Linked DNA regions of Elephas maximus indicus. The protein of the gene in region 1 purifies or fractionates together with the protein of each later gene. This does not show direct contact. Links are inferred from orthologs where the notes say so. Each region holds a gene or a part of one and is shown on either strand. Other genes may lie near its edges. The genes, in order: COPS6, TOR1AIP2, KLHL15 and CUL4A.

Region 1 (7,362 bases):
ATTGCATTGCTGGGAGGGAACAGAAAGAACCAGTTCCCCAGGGGATCCTTTACCGTATGCTCAGGGAACACCCGAATCCCATGTCCTGCATGCAAAAACAGCTTGAGCCCCACCTCCCCATCCTGGGCTTCACACTCACGTCATAAAAGTCTGTCTTGAACTTATCTGTGCTGAGTACAGGGAGGCAGTGGCAGAGAGCATAGGCCTCTCTCAGGATCTCATGGTTAAAGGGGACCTCTCCTAAAGGCACAAAAGCAGACTGCATTAGTATGGAGGCTGTTGGTACCTCAGGAAGTAGAGGAAAGATGGTACGAGTGCCAGGGAGGCACTTGTCCCACCTGCTTCAGAGGCCTTGACGTACTCCAAGATGAGCTTGACACGGCTGTGCAGCATCTTGATGGCGCTGTGCTGTGCTATCAGGTGTTCTGCCACTGCAGGGACAGGGACAGGTGAAGGGGGAGAAGACACGTGGCCTCCCTTCTACCCCTGCTTGCAAGGAAGCTCCGCCAGTCTCCGTTACCAGTGGAGTTCTCTCCGCTGCCTGTGGCTGTCATTCTGGCCACGTGGTCTACACCGATGCGTTCAGCTTCCTCTGTGGCCAGGGTGTAGGTCAGCTCGGCAAACAGCATTGTGGCCTACAGAGCAGAGTACCCCACAGAGGGTCAAAAGCAGGAAACAGGCCAAGAGCAGGATCTGAGGGTTGAAGGGTAGGGTATTACCTCTCCATTGATTATATCAATGACAGATTCAAAAACGCTGACAGGAAGCTGTAAAGAAGAGATGGAGAACAGTTCTAACATCAAATGTGCCAAGAACTGGACAGGGCTGTTTCACACATCTTCTCATTTAATACCCCCAAGAACCCAGTGAAGTAGAGACCATCCCTTTTACGTATGAGGAAAATGCAGCTTAGGTGTAAAATGATTAGACAAAGTCACAGAGCTGCAGAACAGAGGTTCAACTCTGGCATTCCCCAACACAGAAGTAATGTCATCCAGTAAAAGAGAACAGAGAAAGGCTAGAAGAAACAGTAACAGAGAGGCATGGTTAAAACGGCATGGGGTCAGTATTACTCACATCTGTGTGCTTGGTCATAGGGTTCAACTTAAGAAAGAGGGGACTCTCGATTATCTCACACACCTAGAACAGGAGGAAGAAGGACAAGAAAGTCAATGCCTTCTCTCTCCTCTTCCCCTCATCCTCTAGCCTCTGCCCCAGCATGCACATGTGTGAGCATGTATACCTGCTTATGGACGTGGATGTCGGAGGGGTCAGGCGGCCCCCCTGTGGTATACCAGCCGAGAAACTCCAGCTCCTTGAATACCTGTTTAACTGGAGAGGAAGGGGCCAAAGCACATAGTATTCCTTTAAACCATCCTTCCTCACTTTGAAGCTCCTGGTGTACTTTCATCATCTGTTCCCCATCTCCCTCAAATCCTGGCTTGTTTTAGAATAATTACTCCCTCTATCTATAGGGTCGCTATGAGTCGGAATCGAGTCGGCACTGGGTTTGGTTTTTGGTTTTATCCTGTCTTCTCTCATCCTTTACTTTTTTGTGGGGGAGGGTCTGGACCTGAATGTGTTCTTTTTCTGAGATCTTTTCAGCTACTCTCATCTTACTTTCCCTGTTCTCATCCCATTCTCCTGTTTATTTCTTCCCAATCCTATCTATTTCTCCCCGCCCCCCCTCCCCACCACCCTTTGCTTTTACTCCCATGCCTCTCCCCCACTTCTATTCCGCTCTCACACTGCTCCTCCTTGGTGTAATAATATTCCTTGTCAATGATAATCTTCTCTTCCACGGTGTGAGACAGCAGTTCAAAGGAGTTCATCACCTCAATATTTCGGCCCTCCTGCTTCCCGATCAGAGCCCCAATCACTGGGGAGAAGACACACATTAAGTGAGTACAGGTAGTCCCTGACTTACGATGGGTTCTGTTCTGATGACTCTGTAGTAAGTGATTTTCCACGTAAGTTGAATACGTCGTTTTTGTTTTCATTATTATTGCCTTTTATCATCAGTACCTTTATAAAGGAAACACTGATAGCATAGTAATTAAGTGCTACAACTGCTAGCCAAAACTTCGGCAGTTTCACTCCACCAGGCGCTCCTTGGAAACTCTATGGGGCAGTTTTACTCTGTCCTATAGAGTTCCTATGAGTCAGAACCGACTCGACGGCAACGGGTCTGATTTTGGTTTTAGCTTTATAAATCACAACATTGAACATCTATGAGTGAACATCTGAGAATAACATCAGCAAATTATGAGCGACAACACTGTAATACATATTACTAATGATAAGATGTATGAAATGAAAAAACCAGAAGTCCTAAGTGCAGTTTGTCCCAACTCGAATTCTAACTCAAACTCGACATTCGTTGTCGAGGACTACCTGTATAAGGAATTCCAAAACTTTCCCGGAAAGCCTGAGGTCAGTAGGAACCAAGTATTGGGAAAGCAGCGATTCAGGGAGAGGGAGTTGGCCTCAGTAAAACAAGGGAGTAGTTACCGGGGAAAAGTTCACCATTTGGGGAAGGTGACCAATGGGAGGGGGTTGGAAAATTATGCCAAACACTCACCCTGCATAGGCCGCCCCTCCTGGGAGCGCATGCGGATCCAGTGGTCTGAGATGTTGAGAATGACAAGGGGATGAAGAGCGACGGAAACACTACCAGTCACTCCGGAGGCCATCACGCTGGGGACTACTAAGGGTGGAGAGAAAGGGGTGAGAGTCACAGTCCGGGCACCACGTTCTTCCCTGGGGACGGGAGTGGGGGACGGCAGAACCCGGGCCCTACATCCCTCTGCGAGTTATCCCAGGGAAAGATGTGGCCGTTCTGTCCTCCTGACTTCTCCCGGGAGTCCAGAAAGGTCTTACTGCACCCGAAAGAGTGTCTCCAGAAACCGTCCCCGCCGGGCCCGTTACCTGATGCATCCACCTCCATCCCGGTGCTGCCTCCGGTCCCGTTCGCAGCAGCTGCCGCCGCCGCCATTTTCCCCACGCCCGCCAGCCTTGGTCCCACCCCCTCCTTCTCGGCTTCCGTACGGAGCAGCGGCGCATGCTCAGTTGAGCGCGCCTGCCCTGGCGTTGGGTGAGCTTTCGGTTTGGCGGTCTCCAGCTGCTCCTCTCACCCGACCATTGCGGGCGGCGCGGGCGGCCCTGTCAGCCGGCAAACCAGGAGGCCCTCGAGGCGCCTGAACCCGACAAATTTTCATAGACCCTGCCCCCATCTCTCTCCGCTGGTGACCTTGAGTAAAATTGAGATAAGAACACCTAGTTCTTAAGGCTGTTGGAAAATGAATTAAATGTCATGTTATTGCCCTCTGGATACAATCCAAACACCTAACCACCAAACGCAAGGACCTGCGTGATCTGATCCCCACCTGCCGGTCTACCTTCACCTCATACTTTTCTATCCCTTGGTCCTGTGCTTTAGCCACATTCCTCCCACATGCCCAACTCACCCCCACCCAAGGGTTTGTTCATCACTGGTATTCCCGTGATCCCCGTGTATAACCAACACAATATCTGACACAGAGGCATTTAAGTACTTTTTGCATGAATAAATAGGGGCGGAACCGGGTCTCAAGTGGTGCTAAATGCATGTGCTATCTTGCCTTCTTCCAGATATTGGTACCACATTTTTTCAAAACCCAACTTCCTTCTACCCGCCATCCCCTGCAGTCTGTGAAAAACTCACCTGGCAAACCTCCCAACCCACTCCAGCCCACTCCTACGCTCATGCAAATTGTATACACAGCTGCCCCTGTCTAGCTGGCACTTCTAGTGTGCATCCATACCCCAACCCAAAGTGTAAGCTCCTAGAAGACAGAGATCCTGTCAGGTGCCTGTTTTGTGATCCTGCAGAGCCCAGTCTAGGGCCCAGAACCAGCAGGTACCAGGAAATGTGTTCTGGTGATAATGGTGACTTGCATCATTGGTCAATCTCTTCATTTAGGAGTCTGGAAGAAAGGAATTTGAAGGGCAAGAACCTTCAAAGGAAGGAGACTGAGAAATCCTGCAGGGAGAGGAGTCTTCTGGCCAAGGGGAAATTAGGAAAGAGTTTTTTCCCCTCTAATCCACAGTGAGTAACACCCCACACCCAGGTGCCCATCAACTGAGAGGGTTGTTGAAGAAAATCATATATGCCTCACTTAGGAAAAATAAGCTCAGAAAAATGGTTTTCTTTTTAAAATGGTAGACGGCTACATTGAAAAGTTAAAAAAAAAAAGACAAGAATTATTGTAGTGTTAATAAAGTTCACAGCTGTGTTGTTTCACACATTAAAGCACTCCTTTGTCTTTGTTTCAAATGCTCTGGAAACATTATTCAACTCATAAAACAGTGGTTATTGGGGGAATTTAAGGATGACTTTGAAACTGAACCAGTTGATAATACATGCTTCAGAAGTAAGCTTACTGGGCATTTCTTAAAACTGCACTGTATTTTTAAAAACGACAAAAAACTCAAGTTGAAATTTTGGTGTTAAGACAGTCATCCTTAGGTTCTCTTCCTACCTTAAAACAAAACTAAATTCAACGCATCACTTTGTTGTTTTGGTAACTTGTCCATCCACAGGGTGACTATGGAAAGGACAGGAATCCTGCTGGTGGGGAACAGAGCAGAGGATCTGCTCAGAGAGAGCCAAGACTGGGTCACTGATTGCTTTGAGCCTGTGGTGTTGCCAAGAAATTGTACCTCTTTTGGGTCAGTGGTTATCCATTAGTCATTTATTCAACAAATATTTAGGAGTGCTTACTACGTGGCAGGCACAGTTTTAAATGGTGGAGATACAGTACTGAACAAAACAAAGTTTTGACCTTGTGGAGCTGATCTAGAGGGGTGCTATTTTACATGGAAAACTTCTCACGTAAAGTGAACAGGGACCTGAATGGAGCGAGGAAGCAAGGCATGATGATAGCTCATGGGAAGAATGTTCCAAACAAAGGGGACAAGTGCAAAGGTCTTGAGCCAAGACAATGTATGGTATATTTCAGGAATAACAAGAAAGTCAATGGCTGGAGCAGTGTGAATGAGAGAGAGAATAATAGGACATGAAGTCAGAGAGGTGACAGGGTTAGGTAATGTGATGCCTTGTAGGCCATTATAAAGACTTTGGCTTTCAGTCCGAGTGAAGTAGAAAAAAAAAAAAAAGACGTTTGAACAGAGGCATAACATGATTTGACTTAAGGTTTTAAAGGATCACCAGGCTGATGTGTGGAGATTAGAGTGTAGGGGGCAAAGGCAGAAGAAGCATGTAAAAAGCTATTGTTATAATCCAGGTAAGAGGTGCTGGTAGTTTGGTCAAGGACAACAGAAGTGGAAATAAGGAGATGACCAGTTATCCACATGCCTTCATGGACATTAGAAGAAGGCATCCACTCTGGAGCTTAGGCTGGATTTCAGTTTCCACCTACCCCTTCACCCAACTGCCTTTGACAGGGTACAACCTGCACAACCTACTCAGCAGTCCTGTGAGTCTGCTTGAAGTCAGGATAGATTTTGAAGGTAGAGCCAATAGGATTTGCTGACCCAAGGACTCTTGGACAGCAGGAGAAGCATATGAATCCATATCAGTCAGTTCGCAACAAGGTTGTGCCGGTCCAGTATCTGTCCACATGTGAAGGGAGGGACCACATTCAGGGGTTTCCATTTACAGCACCAGACACAGAAGAATAGCCCAGGACTGGCTGCTCCGCATGATTTTTTTCTGTTTTCGAGCACATGGACAAGGATGACAAACCCAGTGTGACTCAGACAGACCATCTGATGGTTTTGCCCTGCTGCAGTGCTGGATCTAGAGGATAAAGAGAGCATCAATTGATCCTAATTTTTTCTCCAGTCATCCCTGATTTGTGTGTGTGAGACAAGGGCATTTTTACAAAATTTATAAAGACCCATTATATCCCCCACCTTGACATATGTAGACCACTTTGGGGGGACCTGGAGAGTAGTGTACTCAATCAAGTGGTCATTGTCTTCATGATCTAGGACCACATCAATCCAACAAGAGAATACCCGTGGCAGAATCAGAATTAAGCCTGAATTCCCTAAGCCCGCTTTTGACTAGGCTGCACCCAGAGGGTGTACTAAGGTTGGCCTGGCATAGCCATTAGGGAAAAAAAGATGCATCATACTGAGGAACAGTCAGGGCGGAATTCTAAATTCTCAAAATAAGTATAATCTATCACCTCTTTCATCTTGATCATTACCCAAGAGGTGGCCAAGAGGAGATGAGGTGGCCCCTCTCTTGGGGGACAGTGGCATTCAGTGACTAGATCATCCTACTAGATCAGAGCAGAAGGAGATGAGGGAAGTAGAGCTGATTTTAGAGGAGGCCGTTCCAGCACTTGGCAACTAGATGCTGTAGATGGTAGGGAGTGTGGAATGTCTATCACATAACTTGACAATTGGCCATTATTGGGCGGCCTTTGCAAAAAAAAAAAAAAAAAAGGTGTACCATTATCAGATTGGAGAGGATCTGGAAAGCCTAAAGCATAAAAGAGTAGTTTCAAGGGCCAATCATGATGTGGCCTGAGTCAGCTGATAGGACTGGAACAGGGACACCACAACCTAAAGAAGTGTGAACAGAGGTGAGGCACCAAGAGTAGCCCCTAGAGGGCGTCAAAGGTCCTATATAGTCAATTTACCAGGAGCAGGAGGGGGAGGGGGAAGGTCTTATGCAATGTGGCTTCTGGGCAGTGCAGGATTGATCAACAGCTTGGTACCCGTCAGTCTCAGCAGAGAACAGGCCCCTACCATGGGCATCTACATGACTGACCCAACTGTCAGATTAGCAGCAAAGATTTGTTTCCACAGTTCACAGCCCTCAAGCGGGTGTCTTCAATTTGCCTTTCTGTAGTCTTCCAAGTGGTCGACCAGCTAGACCACTGGCAACAGCCCAGTTCAGTAAAATGCAGCAAGGTTTGTCAGGGGGAGTATTGGCCAGGCTTATGAGAACAACCTTGAGTTCTGTCTACTGAGCAGAGCAACAATGTCGGCTTTCAGTTTTCCACAGCAGCAGCCCAATATGGACACCATCAATTTCAACTTAGCTAAACCATCAGTGAACTAGGCTCAGGCATTTAGAGGAACCTCTGCGAACTGAGGACCCCACTGATCCATGTCTTTGCAACACCAAGATTCTGCTAGGGCCAGACTGGCTGTGCTCTTGAATTCCCATTTGACTAGCAAAGACTTTTAGCTTTTTCCCACCTTGCCAGGTTCAACTTGACTGGCCCCAAATGGGGATATCAGCCTAGAGTGTTACAAAGCCTCAATGGGTCAGGCTTTCAGTTTCAGTAGCAAGTTAAGAGCTGCTTTATAAAAGGGTATACCTGGTGGCTGTGTCGGAAGGTG
Region 2 (6,829 bases), on another chromosome or scaffold:
TGGTGGCGATGGCTTCTCGGGGTGTTGGGCAGTGGTTGCGGTGGTCAGGGAGGTAGCTGAGAGTCGCCGGGGCCGCCACCTGCGTCGTCGCTGCAGTGCTGCAAACCCGCCTCTGGGCCCATGGTGGCTCCTGTGGGCTGTGGGAGAGGCAGTGCCTGGTTTGGGTCAGCTGCTGTGGGTCACTCCCGCCTCCTGGCTGGAGGCACCAAAGAGGAGGAGAAGGAGGAGGAGGACGTTGCTGTCCTCGGCCTTGAGGGAGGGAGGGGAAGGGGCAACAAAAAGGGACAAGTGGCTGCGCAAATTGCCTGTCCTAAGCCCGGCGCTGCCGGCAGGTGTTGGCTGCGCGCAGGAGACGCCTGTCATGGCCCCCTGGACCGAGCGTCTGGGAAAAGCCAGTGGGACGAGGGTGAAGACTTGTTTCAGTCCTCGACTTCAGGCTGTTGCGCAGTTTTCCTGGGATGTCTTTTGATCGACCGCTACCGTGGCCATACCCTTTCAAGTGTCCCTGGCAAGAGTGACGCTTACGTCTTTGGCACATGTCTTCTTTTCACGGCGAAACTTAAAATTTCAAGTTTCTTATGAAGGCTGTCACCCAGTTTTAAGTCACCCGTTAAGAGTGTACAAAGTCGTATCTACTGTCGAACTCGGTGGATCTCCGTTTTAGAGATGCGTGCATAGCATACGTTCGAATATAAGCTCTATTCCAACAGCAGGTTCGTAGTACTGCGTTATGCACAGTGAGAAATAAATACTTTTTATTAAAGGCAGTGCTGTATTTTAAGTTGTGACCCATTATTTTCATTTTGATCCTGGGCGTGGCTTGATATAGTGCATTTGGTTTAGAGTTCCTGTGTTTACTGAGTAAAAAAAACACGATAAAAGCCATTTGTTTCCCCACCACGCTTAGAGATTTGGATAATCAGCAAATTAACCAAATTTAGTAAGCTGAGGGAAAATCGATTAAGTCTGAATAATTATTGAAAGAAAGCTGTATTATATACACTCTTGTCTGCTTGGAGGGCTTTATGGTTGATTGTAGTAAGCAGATGAAAAAAATTCGTAATTTGGATACCAATTACAATGAATAATTATGAAAAAATTGAAGGTGCTAACAGGTTTCTTTCAAGTATTTTACTTAATCACCTTAGAATGTTTATTATACTCATTTGCTCAAAATTGGGCCAAATTTCAATTTAATTAAGTCTTTTTTTTTTTAGGTGTATTATGCTTTCACTAATAGTCTAAATTTGGTTACAGATACAAGGAATTACATGCTTTAGAGAGTCTCTTAGCCCGTTAAGAGCTTAGCTTATTTTAGCTTCGTTTATTATAAGCTGGAGGAAAAGTAAAGAGAGGGAGTTTTCCTCCTCCTTTTTTAATCTTTTAAGGGAAATTGAAACAGGTATTGTCCCTTGTTAGCCTGGGTTAGGTGGTACATGTGGAAAATTTGCAGGACACAATGCAGAAAAGTAATAATACTTGGTAACAATTGGCTTTTATTTATGGTTCTTTTAATTAAAAAATACGTATTGTATCTTTGGTGAAAATTTACACTGCAAATTAGGTTCCCATTTAACAATTTGTATAGTACTATTCAGCCACATTGGTTACATTTTATTTAAGTAATGCCTTCTCTATAGCATGGTTAGTATATTACTCATTATTAACACATAACAGTAAATGTTTGTTAATAGGTATTATTAAAAGATATAAAACTTTATTAATACACAAAGTTCATATTATGATTATTAAAACATTAAGAGCCTCTTTGAAACATTTACCAGGAAGGTGACTATATAGAAATGTGGATACAGGTTTATAAAACTTAGGTTTGGAGGAGATATTACAAGAGAGAATGATGAGAGCTTTTATATATTATTGAATAATCACATATATTAATTTGTAACTTAAAATGCTTTTAAATGCTTAAAAACAGCTTTCAGAATAAATGAATCATGAGAATCTTAAAAGTGGAGTCACATTCACTTAGGATTTTCCCTCTGTTTACGTAATAAGGATACATAATCCCAGCTTTTCTGTAACTGCCTCCCACACCTAGTAACTTTACAGATAAAATTGTTTTTGTACATGAGTTTTTTGTTTAGGGTAAACAAATTCTAAGGAGCCCTGGTGGTGCAGTGGTTAAGCACTTAGTGGCTAACTTAAAGCTTGGCGGTTTTGAACCCGCCCAGCTACTTAGCAGGAGAAACACCTGGGGATCTGTTCCTGTAAAGATTACAGCCTAGAAAGCATTATGGAACAATTCTGTCACACGGGGTCGCTAAGAGCTAAAATCAACTTGATGGCACCTAACAAAAAGTAGGAATCCAGTTATTTACCAAGTAAACATCTATAATATTCGCAACGTTTCTGGTCGTACAGGGAAATACCTTTGGGGTTCTATCTTAGAAAAGGATAATGTTAATTTTAATAAGGAAAGGTGAATAAAATATTAAATAAGAGGAAGTAAATTTTAAGGATATAGTAACTGGCTCCACCCCCCCCATTCTCACAAGTGTTAGAAAAACATTTTAAGGACTCTTAAGATAAGTGAAAACATCTGCTGGAAATGTTATGCTGAAATTAAGAAAACTTAATGAGGTGAATGGAATATAATACATATTCTCCATATTCTTTGTTCAGTTAGAAATTAGTCAATGAATAGAATCTAAGGGTGTTCCCAATCCTGTGACTTCTGCTAAAAGAAGATATCAGAGAGGTGAAGGCACTAAAAATCAAATACTATAGGGGTTATTCAGTGAATATTTGCACTTCTGCTATGTACTGGCCAGTCCCTGCCTTTCTAGGTCCTGTGGATACAGCAGTAAACAAAATAGACCAAAAGACTAACAAAAATCCCTTTCTGACTTCTTGAAGTTTATATTCTAAGGGAGGAAACCAAAACAAAAAAAACAAACCCACTGCTGTCGAGTCGATTCCGACTCATAGTGACCCTATAGGACAGAGTAGAACTGCCCCCTAGAGTTTCCAAGAAGCGCCTGGTGGATTTGAACTGCCGACCTTTTGGTTACAGCCTTAGCACTTAACCACTACGCCACCAGGGTTTCCTCTAAGGGAGGAGTCAGACAAAAATCAAAAATAGTGTGTTGGTCATAAGTGTCATGGCAAAGGAGGCTATTTACTTGGAGAAGTGAGTAGATATCTTCTGTTTTGTCTTGCACTGATGTTCAGAAACTGGAAAACCTGAATTTTAGACTTAATTTACTTTGCCCCTAACCAATCATATGTTCTTGGGCAAATCACTTCCCTTCCTCCAGTTTTCACATTTATAAAATTAATAGGTCAAAATAATACCTCCTTTTTATTGATCATTCACTAATATCATTTAGCAGCTATCGCTCTCTACGTCATCTCATTTACTCACAGCAACCGTATTAGTCAGGTAGTATTGGCCCCACTTGATGCACGAGCAGACTGAGGCTTAGGTTAAGCAACTTGAAAAGACACACCTAGTAATGGCAGAGGCCGGATTCTAAGCCAAGTCTGACTGGTGCTTGTCGTTATCATTTGGTACCGCCTCTCACTGTCATGGTTCTGTGGGTTTTTCCAGCCTATGAATTTCAGATCCTTAAGGGGTCAGGGGCGTCAGACGTCTTGTAGAGATGCCTGGCTTCTGGTCAGGTACCAATCAGCATAAGAATCTTGGGATGTCTGCGGTTCTGTTGTGCGCATTTACCAAGTCTTTAGTTCCAGCGCCCCGCTGGCTGCTGGGGTTTAGGGTGTGGAGGGGAAGAGAGGGGGAAAGAGAAGGGAGGGGAGAGACCGGGAGACTACTAGTCCCAGCATGCCGTGGGCGCCTCCCGGCGGAGGTCGCCGTCACGTGAGCAGGGGACAGGGGACAGGAACGGTATTTAGCGGCTGCGGCCGTGGGGTGTAGCCCAGTGTTGTGGAGCAGGAAGAACACTCGAAGGCTCCCCGCACATTTGACAGTCGACGGTTTAAAACACCTGGAATTTGTAAGTAAACAAAATGCATATTCAACTTTTCTATGTTTTAATATTTGAACGGATACCTTCTCCTTTCAAACGCTCTTTGAGAAACGATCCCTCCCCACCCCCACCACCCTACCGCAAAAACATTAAACGGGGTAGGATGGGGGTATATTTTTGTTTTATAGTAAAAAAGGATAAACAGAATTTTAAAAGTACTAAATAGGATAAGGTGAGTGTATTTTTCTTTTTTTTGGAGAGTAAAATGAGGAGCAGAATTCTTATAAGGTTCAAAGAGTAAATGGGAAATACGAATACTAGTGCAGGTAGTGAGTAATCTTTACCTCCTTGAAAAAAGTGACATGTACCTCACAAGATCCCATCGTTCATCTTAATCCTTTTAAAATAGTTAACTTTTTTTTGTTTTTAAAGCCTTTAAAGAAAAAAACCAAAAGAAGCAAACTGGTTGACATTGAGTTGATTCTAACTCATGGCAACCCTGTATGTGTAGAGTTGTACTCCATATGGCTTTCAAGGTTATGACCTTTCAGAAGTAGATAACAGGCCTGTCTTCTGAGGCCTCTGGGTGGGTTCAAACCGCTATGCTTTCTATTAGTAGTTGACGGCTTACCTCTTTTTACCATCCAGGGACTCCTTTTAAAGCCTTAATGGTGCTAAGAAGCACAAAGTTTGAAGTTTTTGGAAGACCCTACAACTGACTTTTTCCTTAAAACCAAAAAACCAAATGCATTGCCGGCGAGCCCATTCTGACCAATAGCCACCCTATAGGACAGAGTAGAACTGCCCCATAGGGTTTCCAAGAAGCAGCTGGTAGTTTTGAACTGTCGACCTGTAGCTCTTCACCGCTGCTCCACCAGGGCTCATTTACTTACGTACTACATATTTAAAAAAAAAAAAATTGTTATGGAATCAATTCTGACTCAATAGCGATCCAGTGGGTTAGACTAGAACTGCCACATAGCGTTTCCAAGGCTGTAATCTTTACTGGAGCAGACTGCCACGCCTTTCTCCCTCGGATCCACTCCCGGATTCCAACCGCTGACCTTTCGGTTAGCAGCGGAGCACTTAACTACTGTGCCACCAGGGCTCCCATTTTTTATATATGAACCCTACTTTCTATTGTATTTCATACCCAATGAAAAAGTTTACACCTTTTTCTTCTTTCAACCAAGCCTGTAGTCCTCCATACTTTGGCACTATCTACTTTGTCAGCAGTACTTGTTAGACTTTATACTGTTACACTCACATGGATATGAGTTCACTCTGATTGAACATACTGGCTTTGTTTCACTTTTATCTATCCTTAGGTTTAAGAGCAGTTATTTTGGGTCTATATGAGAGATGTTTTCCTTGTCTGTTTTTTAAGAATTAGAAACATGGCAATTATCCATATTTATCTGTTTTATTTTATTTTATAGCACGTGATTAGTATATAAACGGCCAGTGGAAAATCAATTTAATAGAAAAAGGAACTTCATGGTAAGCCACAAAACCAAACCAGTTGCTATAGAGCCCACCCTGACCCACGGCGACCCCAAGTATGGCAGAGTAGAACTTTGCTCCATAGGGTTTTCAAGGTTGTGACCTTTTGGAAGCACGTTGCCAGGCCTGTCTCCCATGGCACCTCTGGGTGCGGGTCGAACTGCCAACTTTTTGGTTAGTAGGTGAGGATTTATGGTCACGTGTTTAACTGTTTATGCCATCCTGGGACTCCAGTATATAAATGGCCAGTGGAAAATCATTAAATAGGAAAAGGAATTTCATGGTAGAGGAACTAAAAATGTCCTTGGAAGCCTTTGTGTGGATCAGAAGAGTTTGAAAAACTGATATTCGCTGTGAAAAAGTGACAGCCCTCAGGAATGTTTATTATGTTGAGTATAGACTCCACAACTTGATTACCGGTTTTGCTGCTGGTTTATCACATAACCTTGGGTGACTCATTTAAGCTCTATTTTTCCTAGTTTCCTATCTAATGTAGAGGTGACAGTATTAGCCTAAAGAGCTTCTATAATTCACAAATAAACCGACTTCAGAATTTAGCTAATTGTTTGAGAATTATTGGATATTTTAATAATTTATTTTGTCTCATATATAATTTATTTTGCCTAAAAAATCATTTCAAATTATATTCTACAAAAATGTATGTTTCTGTAAAGTGCCACCTGAGTTTGCTGAAGGAAGGTTTGCTCAGAATAGCTACACTAAACAAACCTCTTTTAAAGGGAAGGATTCCAAATGTAAAAGCACATAAAGGGATTCTACAAGCTCCAAAAAAAATAACAACTAAAAATGGCCTCTTTTTGTTTTTGAACTTAAGATTTTAGTTGTATTAAAATCTTATTAATATTTCTGTACCTTTCAAACTACTCATTAAACTGCTTGCTACAAGAGAGAATTCAATACGGTGATTATATTTTATCATAAACTTTAAACAGAAAATCAAGCATTTGGGAATAAGGAAGGATGTCCCCAGCGTTGGTTATGAGCATAAACTTTGGAGTCAGGGTTGGGTTTGAATTCCTGTTGTGTCAGTGTGACTTCAAGCTCATTTCTTCACTTACAAAGTGAAGATTCATAGGGTAATTTGGAATATTAAATGGGATAGTTTAAGGACTCAGTAAACGGAAATAGTTATTGCTCTTTGGGCTACTTTTCTCTTCATTACTATAAAAGGAGTTGGCACATGATTTTGGTGGTTGAAACAGAAAGGAAGAGAATTCACCTATAACTCTGCTACCGCAACAAATCAAATTGTTTTCATTTTTATATATTCTCCTTCAGACTTTCACCGTAGGTATACATAATGTAAAAATGTAGTTACCTTTGTGCAAAAAGTCAAATTTAAAACATTGGTTTGT
Region 3 (7,622 bases), on another chromosome or scaffold:
ATCCTTTCCCGCCTCCGGGATGGTTCATTTTAAGCCTAGTGGGATGGCAAAACTGACCAATCCCCTCATTAGGATTCCATATGCCTTACTTGCATTGGTCCCACCCCCACAAGGGTGACATGTGCCTTATTTACATTATTAGCAAGCTATCCAATCCCCTTGGTGGGTCACAGGCACCTCATCTGCATAGTCCCACCTAGTCATTTGGTGGGAGTTACAAAGACTATGGCTAGAAGGGCCATATTAAGTAATTCACCATACCACAACATGTCCACATAAAAACTTGTACACGAATGTCCGCAGCAGCATTATTCATAATAGCCAACAGGTAGAAACAATTGAAACATCCATCAGTTGGTGAACAGATACACAAAATGTGGTACATCCATACAATGGAATTGTATTCCGCAATAAAAAGGAGCAAACTACTACTATGTGTTACAACATGGATGAACCTCAAAACCAATATGCAAGGTGAAAGAAGCCAGAGGCAAAAGACCATATGTTACATGATTCCATTTATATGAAAAAGCGAATCTATATACACAGAATGTCTCTGAGGTTGGAATGGGGACGGACTGCAAATGGACACCAGAGATCTCTTTGTGGTGAGTGAAAAGTTCTAAACCTGGATTGTGGCGATGGTTGTACAACTCTGTGAATTTACTAAAAATCTTTGACTTGTATACCTAACACAGGTGAATTTTATGGTACGTAAATTTTACCTCAATAAAGCCAATTAAAAAAACAGTATATAAAAAAAGTATACTCAGACTTGGCTATGAATTTCAGCTCTGCTGCTAGCTGTGGAAACTTGGATATGTTACCTAAGCCTTTTGGGACTCAGTTTCCTCCTCTGTAAAATGAGAATAATAGTATCTACCTCATTATAAAGAAAACAAAAATCCACACAACTGACCAATAAGCAACATCATGATAAACAGAGAAAAGATTGAAGTTGCCAAGGATTTCATTTTACTTGGATCTACAATCAACGCCCATGGAAGCAGCAGCCAAAAAATCAAACAACACGCGCATTGGGCCAATCTGCTGCAAACAACCTACTTCAAGTGTTAAAAAGCAAAGATGTCATTTTGAGGACTGAAGCATGCCTGACCCAAGCCATAGTGTTTTCAATTGCCTCATATGTATGTGAAAGACAGACAGTGAATAAGGATGACTGAAAAATTGATGCCTTTGAATTATGGTGTTGGCGAAGAATATTGAATATACCATGGACTGCAGTAAAGAATGAACAAATCTGTCTTGGAAGAAGTACAGCCAGAATGCTCCTTAGAAGCAAGATGGTGAGACTTCGTCTCATGTACTTTGGACATGTTATCAGGAGGGACCAGTGCCTGCCTGGAGAAGGACATCATGCTTGGTAGAAGGTCAGCAAAAAAGCAAAAGACCCTCAAGGAGATAGATTGACACAGTGGCTGCAACAACAGGCTCAGACATAGCACAGACTGTGAGGATAATGCAGGACCTGGCAGTGTTTCATTCTGTTGTACACAGGGTCACTGTGAGTCGGAATCAACTTGATGACACCTAACAACTTCACTGGATTGTTGTGAGGATTAAACCAATATTTGGTAAGTAGGTGTCAACAATTTTAGGTGCCAATAATTTTAACCACTATTTTCATTAATTTGAAATTAATTATTGCTTCCTGTGCCTTTTTACTTCCAATAAAAATTTCTGACAATGAAGCATAATATTTAGTTATTTTCTAGGTATTATCAATGAGTTTTATTTTATTGAGATGTAGTTTCCATACTATAACATTCACCCTTTTAAAGTATAGAATTCAGTGGTTTTTATTACAGTCACAAAGTTGTGCAACCATCACTATCTAATTCTGGAACTCTTTCACCACCTCAACGGGTTTTCTTAATTGGCTGGTATAACTATTTAGAAGCTAAGATAAATAAGAATTAAACATCACCATCCAAGTACAATATAGCATAGTTTCCACCATCACTTAGCCAGTGAATGCACTCATTGAAACACAGCTATCTATTTAGGTAAACCGTTGTACCTAAAATTTATTATATAAAACACATATTCATTTTAATCTTAAGTACTCAATGGGTACATATAACCTAAATTTTTATGTACCTCTCCTTATATCTTTTTTCCAGTTAATAATGAATACCTGTTTACAACAGAAAAACTGCAAAGCATAAAAATGTATGGAGTAAAACAAAAAACACCCAACTTCTTTTTAACACGCGATGAAAAAAGGTTTGAGTCTCAAAATTGTTTAAATTTTAAAATGACGATTGGTAATCTTCCCATTAAAGAAGTGGGTTTTCTTGGACCTGCTTTTTTAAAAACTTACTTTGGGCGCTCTTATGACACCTAGCTTCTCCCCGAAGCAAAATCCTTTCGGAGTGCACTCTAGTGCCACCACGGACCACCTCTCAAGGCCCTAGAGACCTCCGTCTGGGAACAACTTAGGAACTTTGCTTTTCCTATCCGGGCGCCCCTGAGCCCTTCCCCTAACCTCCACGCGAGGGCGCCCTCCCCGAAGCCTGACAGGCGACGCGCGGCGCCTTGAGCGTAGCCCGCTCAGCACGCGGCCTCCTCCCAGCCACGAGCACCGTTGCAGGCAGCGCGGATCCCGAGCCGACTTCGCCTTATTAAATTGTACCCAGGAATCGGTAAATAACGACAGTCTCTCTATATTCTAGTTTCACACCCCAGATAAAATTCTCAAGTTTCGGCAAACCGGTTCGGGCAACGCTCCCGGAAACGGAAATAGCTTCTCCCTTACCAGCGCGGAGCGTCGTGTTACGTTCCCCTCCAGGCCAAAGGACCTTTTCTGGAGCTGCCTTAAATGTTGCCTGCCCAAATAGCCAACAGTTCTGCGATTAGTAGATCCCGACACTTTGCATTGTGTTTCTTAGTAAGCCGACTAGCACTGAATGAGCCTAAGCGGAGAGAAGTCCAAGCAGTGAGGTCCCTGCTGCATGGGTCATCCGCCTTCGCTAGGCTTGGGCCCTGGTCTGTCTTCCCGCCTCGACTTCCCCGCCCCTCACCAGAGGGCTTGCGTGTTGTCAGCCGACAGCCTGGCCGACTTCCTTCCTCTCTGGGCAAGATGGCGGGGGGCGAGGCGGGAGTGACTCTGGGGCAGTCACATCTTTCTAGCCAGGATCTCGCCACCTTGGTGAGGTTTCGCTTTGGGAGGACGCGGAGTGAGCGTGGGAGTGGGGATGGTCATGCCTCCCGGGAGGCGTTGGGGCGAGGCAGTGCCGGGCCGTCGGGAGCCTGAGTTAGGAGGGAGCCCCGGATCCGAGCGGCCTGCGTCGCGCTCGCGCCACCGCTTGCACTTCGACCGGTCTGCGAGCTGGCTGTGGGTGTGCGCGCTCGTGGGACCGCGAGCTCCTGAAGGATTCGGATGGAACGTCACGGAGTGTCATTAAGGCTTTGACCAAACTCTGAAGGCTTGGGAAGGGAGCATCTCCACGGCCCTCAGTGCTAAAGCTTCCAAAGTTGGGGGCCTCGGGCCTCCTGATTTCTCATAGAGTGCAGGCGTAGTCTTTTGTTGTGTAACGATTAGGGGTGCTTCGGGCTTTCCAGTCATCAGAGCACAAGATTGCTTGTATGGGAAAAGCGCTTCAGAAGTAATAGAGAGCTGTACAGATGGTGATGAGCTATAGGTAGCAAACGTAAAGTCAGATGGAAAACCCTGTTTTGTCTTCTGTGCAGTGGTTTATAATAAAATGTTTCGTTGCAGGATGTTGCCAAGTTGACACCCCTTTCACACGAAGTCATCAGCAGACAAGCCACAATTAACATAGGTAAGAATAACTTGGAGTCCTGACGTGCTTGATCACTGGCAAGTAATTTTAACTTCTCCCTTGGTGTGATTAATTGAATTATATGAGGATTCAGGTATATAAGAAGTAGATACTGAACTCTTGTGAACAAAGCACCTGCTAGATTTCTTGGGAAACACAGAGAATGCTGCAAATACCTAGGTTACAGACTGAGTGAGAAGGAAGGATGTAACCCAGACCCTGAAAAATTTAACGTAAGGAATTATATAGTCGTACGTAGCAGGAGTTTAAAGAAGAATTGAAAATATGGCTGTATTTGCTGCACGGGGTTATTGTGAGAGCAGTTTGTGAAAGTCTTATAAAGAAGAATTGAAAATATGGCTGTATTTGCTGCACGGGGTTATTGTGAGAGCAGTTTGTGAAAGTCTTATTTGATATATAAGCCATTATTAAGTGGAGTATTTTTTTTTTCCTAATTGGCACCCTTCGAACTTTAGAGAAGTTACGTTGACTGTGTAAATTTTGGATATTTGAGAGTCTGTGCAAACATCACAGTAAAGCTTAGTTAGAAGTTAGACTCTACCCAAGGCCGTTAAAAAGTTCTAAAATATAATCTACCCTTGACAGCATTACTGTAATTAAACTTGGATTGTTTTCTTATTTTCATAGATTTCTCTTAGTTGTGTCAGGGCTCATCATATCTAGTCACCTCACTCTGGAAATGCTAGAAAGCTTCTTAATATACAAGATAATACACGATATTTTATACTTTTTAGCGAGCGTATATTTCAAATGAAGTCAGTTATTTCTCTAATAACATATGGTGAGTAGCTATTATTACACTGTATGATTTTTTTTTTTTTTTTTAGGTATTTAGGATATGTTGGGTTTTTTTTGTGGTGGTTGAGAATATACGTAGCAAAATGTACACCAATTCAACAGTTTCTACATGTACAATTCAGTGACATTAATTACATTCTTCAAGTTGTGCAGCCATTCTCACCCTCCTTTTCTGAGTTGTTCCTCCACCATTAACATAAACACACTGTCCTCTAAGGTTCTTAACTAATCTTTTTGAGTTGCTGTGTCACTTTGATCCCATATAGATAGTTCTTAAAAGAGCACATTGCTCAAGACAGACATTTTTTTACCAGTTACGGTAAACTATCGTTTGGTTTTAAGAAGACCTGAGGGGCTTTTTTTGTTTTAAGGTTCAAAGATTATCTCAGGGCAATAATTTCAAGGGTTCATCGAGCCTCCATGGCTCCAGGAAGTCTAGAGTCCATGAGAATTTGAAGTTCTATTCTGCATTTTTCTCCTTTGATCAAGATTCTTCTGTGGATTCCTTGATCAGGATATTGAGTAACAATAGCTGGGCACCATCCAGTTCTTCTGGTCTCATGACATAGGAGGCACTTGGTCATGGAGGCAGTTAGTCACACATTCCATATCCTCCTCCTATTCCTGACTCACCTTCTTCCTCTGTTGCTCCAGGCAAATAGAGGCCAATTGTTGTACCTTGGGTATGTGCTTGCAAGCTTTTAAGACCCCAGGCAGAACAGAGGCACTAAACATGTTATTAGGCCAATTAACTGGGCTGTCCCATGAAACCATGACCCTTAACTTCCAAACTAAGAAACCACATTCCAGGAGGTTTTTCGTTGTACATAATCAGCCTCAGCAGCTACCCTTTATTTGTTGTTGTTGTAAGTATATCTATCACACAACTTTTGCCAGTTCGACTTTTTATAAGTATATAACTTACTAGCAGCAATTACAATAATTTGCTGTATGACTCTATCCTTAATCAGTACAATTTCTCCATCACTGTTTACCCCTCCCCCTTTCCTCTTCTCTCCTGCCCCTGGCAACCACTAATAAACTTTGTTCTCTGTATATTTGCCTTTTCTTATATTTTTATAAGTGAGCTCATACACTGTTTGTCCTTTTGTGATTGACTGATTTCACTCAGCATAATATCTTCAAGCTCCATCCATCTTGTAGCATGTATCAAGACTTCGTTTCTTCTACTGGCTGAGTAGCGTTCCATTGTATGTATGTACCACATTTTGTCTATCCATTCATCTGTTGAAGGGCATTTAGGTTGTTTCCACCTTTTGGCTATTGTGAATAGTGCTGCAGTGAACATTGGTGTTCATTGGTGAGTCCAGTTTTTTGGGCATATTTCACCACGTATGATTTTTAACAAGGTTGTCAGTTACACAGAAAGCTCTCTTTAGTCCTGTGTCAAAACAAGTTTTTAGTAGGAAAGGATATATAGGAGGGAAAATTGAAGCCACTACTGGTTTCATGTCCATACCTACAATGTGAGCTATGGCTTTGGTTTGCTGTTCTAACACTCTTGAAGAAATACTTGGTGTAATTGGATGCACATGGATTAATTTTCTGTACTTTGATTATAGGTACAATTGGTCACGTAGCTCATGGGAAATCTACAGTTGTAAAAGCTATTTCTGGAGTTCACACTGTCAGGTTCAAAAATGAGCTAGAAAGAAATATTACAATCAAACTTGGATATGCTAATGCTAAGGTGAGTTGTGTATTATGGAACTAGAAACCATTTAAGTTTAATTGGTGAATGTGCAGATAACAAATCCAAATCTTTTTTTAATTGAAACTTTTAGATTTATAAACTTGATGACCCAAGTTGTCCTCGGCCAGAATGTTATAAATCCTGTGGAAGTAATACGCCCGATGAGTTTCCTACAGACATTCCAGGGACCAAAGGGAACTTCAAATTAGTCAGGTGATCTCTTTCATGCTAAACACACTTCACATTTTATGTATATATTATTTCTTGTTTTTTTGAAATATTTAAGGGAATGATTTAAACCCAATCGTGGAATGGCTTTTTTATTTTCCATTATTTTATGTTTTTATTGTCTATCATGAAGTTAATTTGGCACCCCCTTGAATTTTTGTACCCAAGGTGAGTGCTTCACTTGCTTCACCTTAATCTTGGCCCTGATCAGAGATCAGCAAATTTTTTCTTTAAAGTGCCAGATAGTAAATATTTTTTTTCTTTTTTTTTTAATTGTGCCTTAAGTGAAAGTTTACAGTTCAAGTTAATTTCTCATACAAAAATTTACACGCATACTTTTATGTGACCCTAGTTGCAATCCCTTTAACGTGATAGCACACTCCCCCCAGTTTCTTGTGTCCATTCAACCAGCTCCTGTCCCTTCTTGCCTTTTCTTCCTGCCTCCGGACAGGAGCCGCCCATTTGGTCTTGAGTATCTGCTTGAACTGAGAAGCTCACCCTTCACGAGTATTATTTTATGTTTTATAGTCTAGTCTAATCTTTGTCTGAAAAGTGGCTTCGGGAAGTGAATATTTTTTTACTTTGCAGGCCATAGGGTCTCTCTTGTACCTGCTTAGCTCTGCCTTCTATCATAAGGCAGATGTACATAATACGTAAATGAAAGATTTTGGAAGTGGGCCAGATTGGACTTGCAAGCCCTAGTTTGCCAACCCCTGTTTTAGATCATGAAGTGTGAACATACAATTTTAAAAATAGTAGCAATTCTGTATGAGGTCTATAATTTTGTTAAAATAGCACTGACATCTCCATTTTAGATTGGCAATTCCAGTTTTTCAAGGTGCTAGAGACACTGTCAGCAGATTATCCTTTCAGGTGTCACTCCCCTTTCTCAACACAGATTTTACAGTTTATTAAGTTTTAGCTTTCAAGTTGATGGCTTTCCCGATATATACTCTATACCCCGTTGTACACCATAGTCACTTTAATTGGATTTGGGAGTTTTTGTCTCTTCAGGTGAGTTATTTCTACATATAACTTAGTTTTATTTACTTTGT
Region 4 (6,850 bases), on another chromosome or scaffold:
GTGGGATGGAAATATTGCCCGTCTTGATGGTGGTGGTTACACGGCTGTATACATTTACTAAAGCTTACTGAACTATGTACACTTAATGAAAAAATTTTATTATGTGTAAATTACATTTCAATAAAGCTGATTAAAAACATCATAAACACATACAGGAAGACAAACTATTTACTATGTCCATGAAAATGTCAGCAGTAACCTTCTTTGACTGGTGGGAGCATAGGTAATTTTTGCTTTGTATTTTCCATAATTTTTATAATCCAATCACTCACATCATCTGAAAAAAAGGTAACTTTAAAAATGCAAGCCTTTTTAATGGAAATAATTGTGTGATATGATATTGTAGCCTAAAACGTAGCCGCTATTAGTTAATGAATGTTATTCTTTAAAAAATCAGAAAAACCAGTCAGGTTGTAAATGAAAAATTCAAATAAAATGTTCTTTTAACCATTTTCTTCCTTGAAAAATGGAATTTCATTACTTCATATTAAACATAAAATGTGTTTACAGAACTTCATTTCAGCAATTAATCACAAAACACAATGAAGCGAGAAATCTATATTAACAAGAAAAACAATTAAGAATTTCATAAACATAATGTGATAATAATAATTTGCTACGTATTTGGAAATTACTAGAATCGTATGGCTCTGAAAAACATCCCACCTTATTCTTGCAATGTGATAACTAAAATCTTCCCAGGCAGCTTAAGCCTGAAAACAAAATAAAAACCCAATAAGAACCAATGAACAAAAACACACCAGGACCCACTTTCACAGGACTCCTGTTGTTCCTGTTTGAGGCAAACATACTGAGACATTCTGGATTCATATTCTGTCACTGCTGACTCTCTTAAAGTGGAATGTAGAATCTTCACCTGTATCACATTTCACAGGAACTGGGCGATGCGTTTAAACAACTAGAGAGACAACCAGGTAACTGTAATGACAAGATGTCAACCAAATCAAGTTCTGAGGAACTTCTCCAGGTCTAAGAAAATTCCACATTCACGTCTCAACAGAAATTCTAGCAAACTCTACAGTTTACTACATTTGGACCCTTACCTGGTAGAGCTCTTCGAGGTTGTATTTAATGGAGGTACTACTTTGTATGGCTTTCACTGCCTCATGAAGCTTGTGCCATGTATCCTGAGTGTAATTATCCGGCAGTTTAGGTCTGTCTGTAAATTCAGAAAGAGAATCAGTGGAGAAGGGCTGCCACAGGACAGTAACACATCTTCTAAAATGTTCTCAAAGAAAAATACTTAAAAGCAGAAAAAACAGGAAAATCAAGTTTTCCAAATTCAAAGTATTGCATTTATAAATTCCTTGGGTTATGGACTAAGCAACGGTAACATCTTTATTTCAATACTTAGTACTAATAGTTAGTTAGGATGAATACTTCAAATTTACACATCTTAGTTTCCTTAACAAGTTGACATCAGAACATTATAAACGTGGCACAGTTAAGCTCTACGCAATTTTAAATTGATATAAATTATCTAACATTGGAAGGTAAAGAGTAAGCTTGTAATTGTATATACCCGCATCAAAGATGCTTATTTTGAGATATTATCCAAGATAGAGGTGGTAAGAGGTGGAGGAAGTAACAGAAAGTACAGTGACGCGCGCAGTAGTGGCTTATTCTGGTTCAGCTGTGCCAATCACCATACATTATTTATCTAATTTATGATTTTTCTATCAATTGCATAGAGTCATGAGAACAAAACACTGCTACAAAGAAGACCTGATATGGTATAAATCTCCAATGTCCCATATTTAGGGCGGTCAGGTGAAGTTTAAAAAGTCCGTGTGTACACACTTAACGGACGATCCCTATTTCTGCAGGGTCTGCGTCCTGAGGCGCACAGTGCTGAGCTCCGGGTACGCGCCCTGAGTCAGGAGGCTAAACTGCCGACTCACTGGGCCTCTTTCTTTCTATCTTAGGGGAGGGATGTGCCGTCCTAGTCTCGCACAAGATTTCAAACCTCCCTGAACTCGGTACCGGGAAAGGTGTACGGAGTCCAAAAGTCCCTGGGAACTGGACCAAAGTGATGTCCACGTTACACAGAGATCTCACGAGGCAGCACAGACTAGAAAGCTAGCCGGCGGCCGACAGAAGGCCGAGACGCAGAGGGCAGGCCCGGCGGGACCCCGAAGCACCGCGGCGGCTCTGGGTCCCCGACCCCGCAGGGTCCAGCGCGGCCGAGGTCGGCGCAGGTCAGCGCGGCGCGTGCGCAGGGAGGCCGACCCGCGCCCCTTCCCCATTGGCCGTCGCCGCTCCGACGTCCGCGCCGCGCGGCCCCACGCACCCGCCGCCGGCGGGGGGCGCAGGAAGTCGCTCGGCCGCCCCTTCCTCCCGGGACCGCCGCGGCCGGCCGTCGCCCCGCGCCCCGGCCCGTCGCCATGCGCCCTTGTCCGTAGTCCTGCGCCCCGGCCCGTCGCCCCGAGCCCTCGTCCGCCGCCCCGCCGCCCCGCGCCCCGGCCCGCCGCCCCGCGCCCTCGTCCGTCGCCCCGCACCCTGGCCCGTCGCCCCGCGCCCCGGCCCGTCGCCCCGCACCGTCGCCATGCGCCCTCGTCCGTCGCCCCGCGCCCCGCACCGTCGCCATGCGCCCTCGTCCGTCGCCCCGCGCCCCGCGCCCCGGCCCGTCGCCCCGGCGGGACGTGCTGGCCCGGCCGCTGTGTCCGCCAGCCCCCGGGGCCGCGCGGGGCAGGCCCGTCCCGAGGCCGTTTCGGCTCCGCCGCCCCTCCCCCAGCCCGGGCGCGCTCGCCCTCACGCACCTACCTCGGAAATTTTTGATCACTAATTTCTTGGAGCCGCTGCCGCCCCCAGGTTTGGTGGTGACGGCGGCGGCGGCTGCCAGGGAGGCAGGTTTCGTGAGGCCATTGGTGTGCCCGACGAGAGCCGAAAAGTTTCCCTTTTTGGGGGTCTCGTCTGCCATGTCTACTGCCGAGAAAACAAACCGGCGGCGGCCGCTCCGCCCCACCCCCGCCCTCGGCCTGTTCCCGCCTCCAGTCGCGGCCCGGCCGCGCTTCCTCCTCCTCCTCCTCCTCCTCCTGCCCCGGCCTGCTCTCCCCGCCTCCTTCTCCGCCCCTGCCCGGTGCCCCGGCCCCTCCGGGGTGCGAGCTAGGCCTCGCCGGCGGCCGCGGAGCGAAGGGAGTCCCGGGAGCCTCCGCCGAGAGCGCGCCCGGGGCCGCCGCCCCGCTCGTCCCTCGCCGGCCGTCCCTTCTCCCAGATAAAAGTTCTCCGCGCCCGCACGGCCGCCCGCTGGAAGCCTGCGCCCGCGCGCCGTAAACACCGCCGCCGGCCGGAGCCGGAACCCGGCCTCCTCTCCGCCCCCGCCAGCGGCCTCCACTTCCCGGGGCCCGCCCCCTGCCCCGGCCCGGGCCGCGGGACTCCGCCTCGGGAAGGGGGCCGGGGCCGCGCGAGCCGCGGCACCGCCGGGCCTTCCACGAGCTTGCTCCCAACCGCCGATTCGCGCCTGGTCCCCTGTTCGATCCCGGGTCCCCCGCCCCACGGCGCAGCGCCCTGGACTCGGGGCCGGCTCTTCATGGCTGTCCCCATCTCGGTCCGCCAGTGGCGCGGCCCTTTGCGGGCGGAAGCTCGTACGGAGAGGCCGAGGGGCCCCGGAGCGGCCGGACCCCCGGGACCCCCAGGAGCCCCCGCCCTCGTTACGGGCCCGCGGGGTCGCGCTGCCAGCGGGATGGACACCGGCCGCTGCCACCGCGCGTGCGCGGCCCGGGGCGCCGAGGACCAGGGCGGTCGGGGGAAGGGTGTGTAGACACGGTCCCGTCCCCGTCGGCGGTGGGATTTTTCCTTTGAACACGCAGGAGCCGAGGGTATCGCGCGGCAGCGAGGCCATGAGGCTGTTCTCCGCCGAGAAACGGCAACCCTCGGCTCCCCAGGGACTCCCATGAAAACCCCCATTGCCCCAGTCTGTGGTCCTGCGCCTGCCGGTGGAACCAAACAAAAACCGAGAACGCGAGCGAGGGAGCTGCCTCGCTGAGAGCTGGCGAGAGGAAGTCCGCCGGGAAGGCACCTCAGCCTCCTCCCTGGGCCTCCTCCCTGAGCATCCCTCAGCCTCCTCCCTGAGCATCCCTCAGCCTCCTCCCTGGGCCTCCTCCCTCTCAGCCTCCTCCCTGAGCATCCCTCAGCCTCCTCCCTGAGCATCCTTCAGCCTCCTCCCTGGGCCTCCTCCCTCTCAGCCTCCTCCCTGGGCCTCCTCCCTGAGCATCCCTCAGCCTCCTCCCTGAGCATCCCTCAGCCTCCTCCCTGAGCATCCCTCAGCCTCCTCCCTGGGCCTCCTCCCTCTCAGCCTCCTCCCTGGGCCTCCTCCCTCTCAGCCTCCTCCCTGGGCCTCCTCTCTGAGCCTCCTCCCTGAGCATCCCTCAGCCTCCTCCCTGGGCCTCCTCCCTCTCAGCCTCCTCCCTGGGCCTCCTCCCTCTCAGCCTCCTCCCTGGGCCTCCTCCCTCTCAGCCTCCTCCCTGAGCATCCCTCAGCCTCCTCCCTGGGCCTCCTCCCTCAGCCTCCTCCCTGAGCATCCCTCAGCCTCCTCCCTGGGCCTCCTCCCTCAGCCTCCTCCCTGAGCATCCCTCAGCCTCCTCCCTGAACCTCCTCCCTGGGCCTCCCCCCTGAGCCTCCCTCTCAGCCTCCTCCCTGGGCCTCCTCCCTCTCAGCCTCCCCGCTGAGCCTCCCCCCTGAGCCTCCTCCCTGAGCATCCCTCAGCCGCCTCCCTCAGCCCACGGTGGAAGAGGGCCGGCCCCCCGGGAGCGCCCCCTCCCAGCGACCCCGAGAGGAAGGCGTGGCCGGGCGGCGGGCGCGCGCTCCGCCGCTGGGCCGGAAGTGACGTCAGCGCGCGGGCGGAAGTGGGAGAGGCTGGTGTCGGCCAGACTGAGCGCAGGACTGGCCGCCGCTTCCATGGCGCACATCACCATCAACCAGTACTTGCAGCAGGTAATTTCTTCGCTGGGGGAGGACCAGTGGCAGTGCGCGGGCGCCCCCGGCCGCTGTCGCCGTTGTGTTCCGTTCTCTTGAGGTCTGTGACTGCTTCCCTGCCCGTTGCTCCGTTGGCTCCTGGGCTTTACTGATGGGCGGCGGTGACATGGGTGTCCTGGGAGGGATTCGAACCGAGAGTCGACGTCACAGCCTTTCCTGCATTAGTGTGAAGCGACAGGGCTGGGGTGCGGACATACGGTACCCAGACACAGCTTCACGGTCTGCTGGGCAGGTCACCTAGTGTTTGCTGAGTATTTCTGAGCTCTTGTGTGCAAGATGGGAATTAATCATGGTTTGGGTATATAGACTTACTGGATTTGCTGGGAATTCAGGGAGGAACCAAATGGTCGGTGCTTTCGATTTAGGGATGCGGGGGGCTGCGGCGGGAGAGGCGTGGGTTCTCGTGGGCCTTGAAGAGCCTGTAAGCGACGCCGAGAAGTTTGGATTTAGCCCTTGGGCAGCCATTGAAGTCTTAACCAAGGGTCTGGTTTAGTCCCATTTTTGTTTCGAATAGGCACTGGTGGAAATGTGAAGTGATGAATTTGAGGTAATTCAAATAGGAGATGGAGCTAGCAACTATGCGACTGTTGTAGTCCTAGTGCTAGCCAATATTTAGTCATAGTTACTACCATACTGATGAAGAGCAAAGACTACAGCCTTAAGTATGGATTACACCTCAACATAAAGAAAACAAAAATCCTCACAACTGGACTAATAAGCAACATGGTGATAAATGGAGAAAATATTGAAGTTGTCAAGGATTTCGTTTTTTCTTGGATCCACAATCAGCGCCAATGGAAGCAGCAGTCAAGAAATCAAATGACCTATTGCATCGGGGAAATCTGCTGCGGAAGACCTCTTTAAAGTGTTAAAGGGCAAAGATATCACTTTGAGGAATAAGACATGATATTTTCACTTGCCTCATGTGCGTGCTAAAGCTGGACAATGAATAAGGAAGACCAAAGAAGAATCGATGGCTTTGAATTATGGTGTTGGCAAAGAATGTTGAATATACCATGGACTACCAGAAGAATGAACAAATCTGTCTTGAAAGAAGTACAGCCAGCATGCTCCTTAGAAGTGAGGATGGTGAGGCTCTGTCTCACATACTTTGGACATGTTGTCAGTGGGTGGATCAGTCCCTGGAGAAGGACATTATGCTTGGTAAGGTAGAGGGTCAGTGAGAGAGGAAGACCCTCAGCAAGATGCATTGACACAATGGCTGCAACAAAGGGCTCAAGCCTATTGACAATTGTGAGGATGGCGCAGGACCATGCAGTGTTTCATTCTGTTGTACAAAGGGTTGCTGTGATTTGGAACTGACTCGTCAGCATGTAACAACAACAGCTACCATTTAACCAGAAAACCAAACCTCTTGCCATTGAATTGACTTATAGCGAGAGTAGAACTGTCCCATAGGGTTTCCCAGGCTGTAAATCTTTACAGAAGCAGACTGCCCCATCTTTCTCCCACGGAGCAGCTGGTGGGTTCGAACCACCTTTCCCATTAGCAGCTGAGCGCTTAGCCACTGCACTACAAGGGCTCCAATTACTACCATTTAAAAAAAAAAGTACCGGTAAAATTTGTGTCAGAGAGCCCTGGTGGCACAACTTAAGCTCTCGGCTGTTAAACGAAGGGTTGGCAGTTCAAGCCCATCCAGCTCACGAGAAAGACCTGGTGATCTGCTCCCCTAGAAATTACAGCTTAGAATAAAAGCCTGTGGGGCAGCTCTGCTCTATCACATGAGGTCACTACGAGTTGTCGATGCTGTGGCACCTAACAACAACAACGACAAAATTTGTCTCACGTCAGTGTACCCTGTAAGTGGCAGAAGTATAGTTAAAATATAGATCTC

Evidence for each region.
Region 2: the proteins of COPS6 (region 1) and TOR1AIP2 purify together in Homo sapiens (affinity purification with mass spectrometry, with the first as the bait; 3 studies listed by BioGRID). This does not show direct contact. The link is inferred for Elephas maximus indicus from reciprocal best matches to the Homo sapiens genes COPS6 and TOR1AIP2.
Region 3: the proteins of COPS6 (region 1) and KLHL15 purify together in Homo sapiens (affinity purification with mass spectrometry; 3 studies listed by BioGRID and IntAct, with this or other methods). This does not show direct contact. The link is inferred for Elephas maximus indicus from reciprocal best matches to the Homo sapiens genes COPS6 and KLHL15.
Region 4: the proteins of COPS6 (region 1) and CUL4A purify together in Homo sapiens (affinity purification with mass spectrometry; 13 studies listed by BioGRID and IntAct, counting the BioPlex papers as one, with this or other methods). This does not show direct contact. The link is inferred for Elephas maximus indicus from reciprocal best matches to the Homo sapiens genes COPS6 and CUL4A.

The regions. Positions count from the first base shown.
Region 1 is NC_064830.1:91,596,058-91,603,419, reverse strand, and holds the start of COPS6 (COP9 signalosome complex subunit 6), read right to left. Parts: upstream 3,013-7,362; 5' UTR 2,996-3,012; coding exon 2,929-2,995; intron 2,708-2,928; coding exon 2,582-2,707; intron 1,880-2,581; coding exon 1,748-1,879; intron 1,333-1,747; coding exon 1,244-1,332; intron 1,141-1,243; coding exon 1,078-1,140; intron 768-1,077; coding exon 720-767; intron 636-719; coding exon 521-635; intron 432-520; coding exon 339-431; intron 241-338; coding exon 140-240; intron 10-139; coding exon 1-9. UniProt on the Homo sapiens protein: Component of the COP9 signalosome complex (CSN), a complex involved in various cellular and developmental processes.
Region 2 is NC_064842.1:42,817,273-42,824,101, reverse strand, and holds the start of TOR1AIP2 (torsin-1A-interacting protein 2), read left to right. Parts: upstream 1-3,828; 5' UTR 3,829-3,977; intron 3,978-5,389; exon of another isoform or gene 5,390-5,450; intron 5,451-6,829. UniProt on the Homo sapiens protein: Required for endoplasmic reticulum integrity. Regulates the distribution of TOR1A between the endoplasmic reticulum and the nuclear envelope as well as induces TOR1A, TOR1B and TOR3A ATPase activity.
Region 3 is NC_064846.1:155,086,269-155,093,890, reverse strand, and holds the start of KLHL15 (kelch-like protein 15), read right to left. Parts: upstream 3,017-7,622; 5' UTR 2,780-3,016; intron 1-2,779. Other genes in the region: EIF2S3 (eukaryotic translation initiation factor 2 subunit 3), read left to right, coding at 3,104-3,172, 3,743-3,806, 6,209-6,336, 6,431-6,552. UniProt on the Homo sapiens protein: Substrate-specific adapter for CUL3 E3 ubiquitin-protein ligase complex.
Region 4 is NC_064841.1:79,608,587-79,615,436, reverse strand, and holds the start of CUL4A (cullin-4A), read right to left. Parts: upstream 3,023-6,850; 5' UTR 2,942-3,022; coding exon 2,785-2,941; intron 1,181-2,784; coding exon 1,065-1,180; intron 919-1,064; exon of another isoform or gene 832-918; coding exon of another isoform or gene 772-831; intron 1-771. Other genes in the region: PCID2 (PCI domain-containing protein 2), read left to right, coding at 4,918-4,953. UniProt on the Homo sapiens protein: Core component of multiple cullin-RING-based E3 ubiquitin-protein ligase complexes which mediate the ubiquitination of target proteins. As a scaffold protein may contribute to catalysis through positioning of the substrate and the ubiquitin-conjugating enzyme.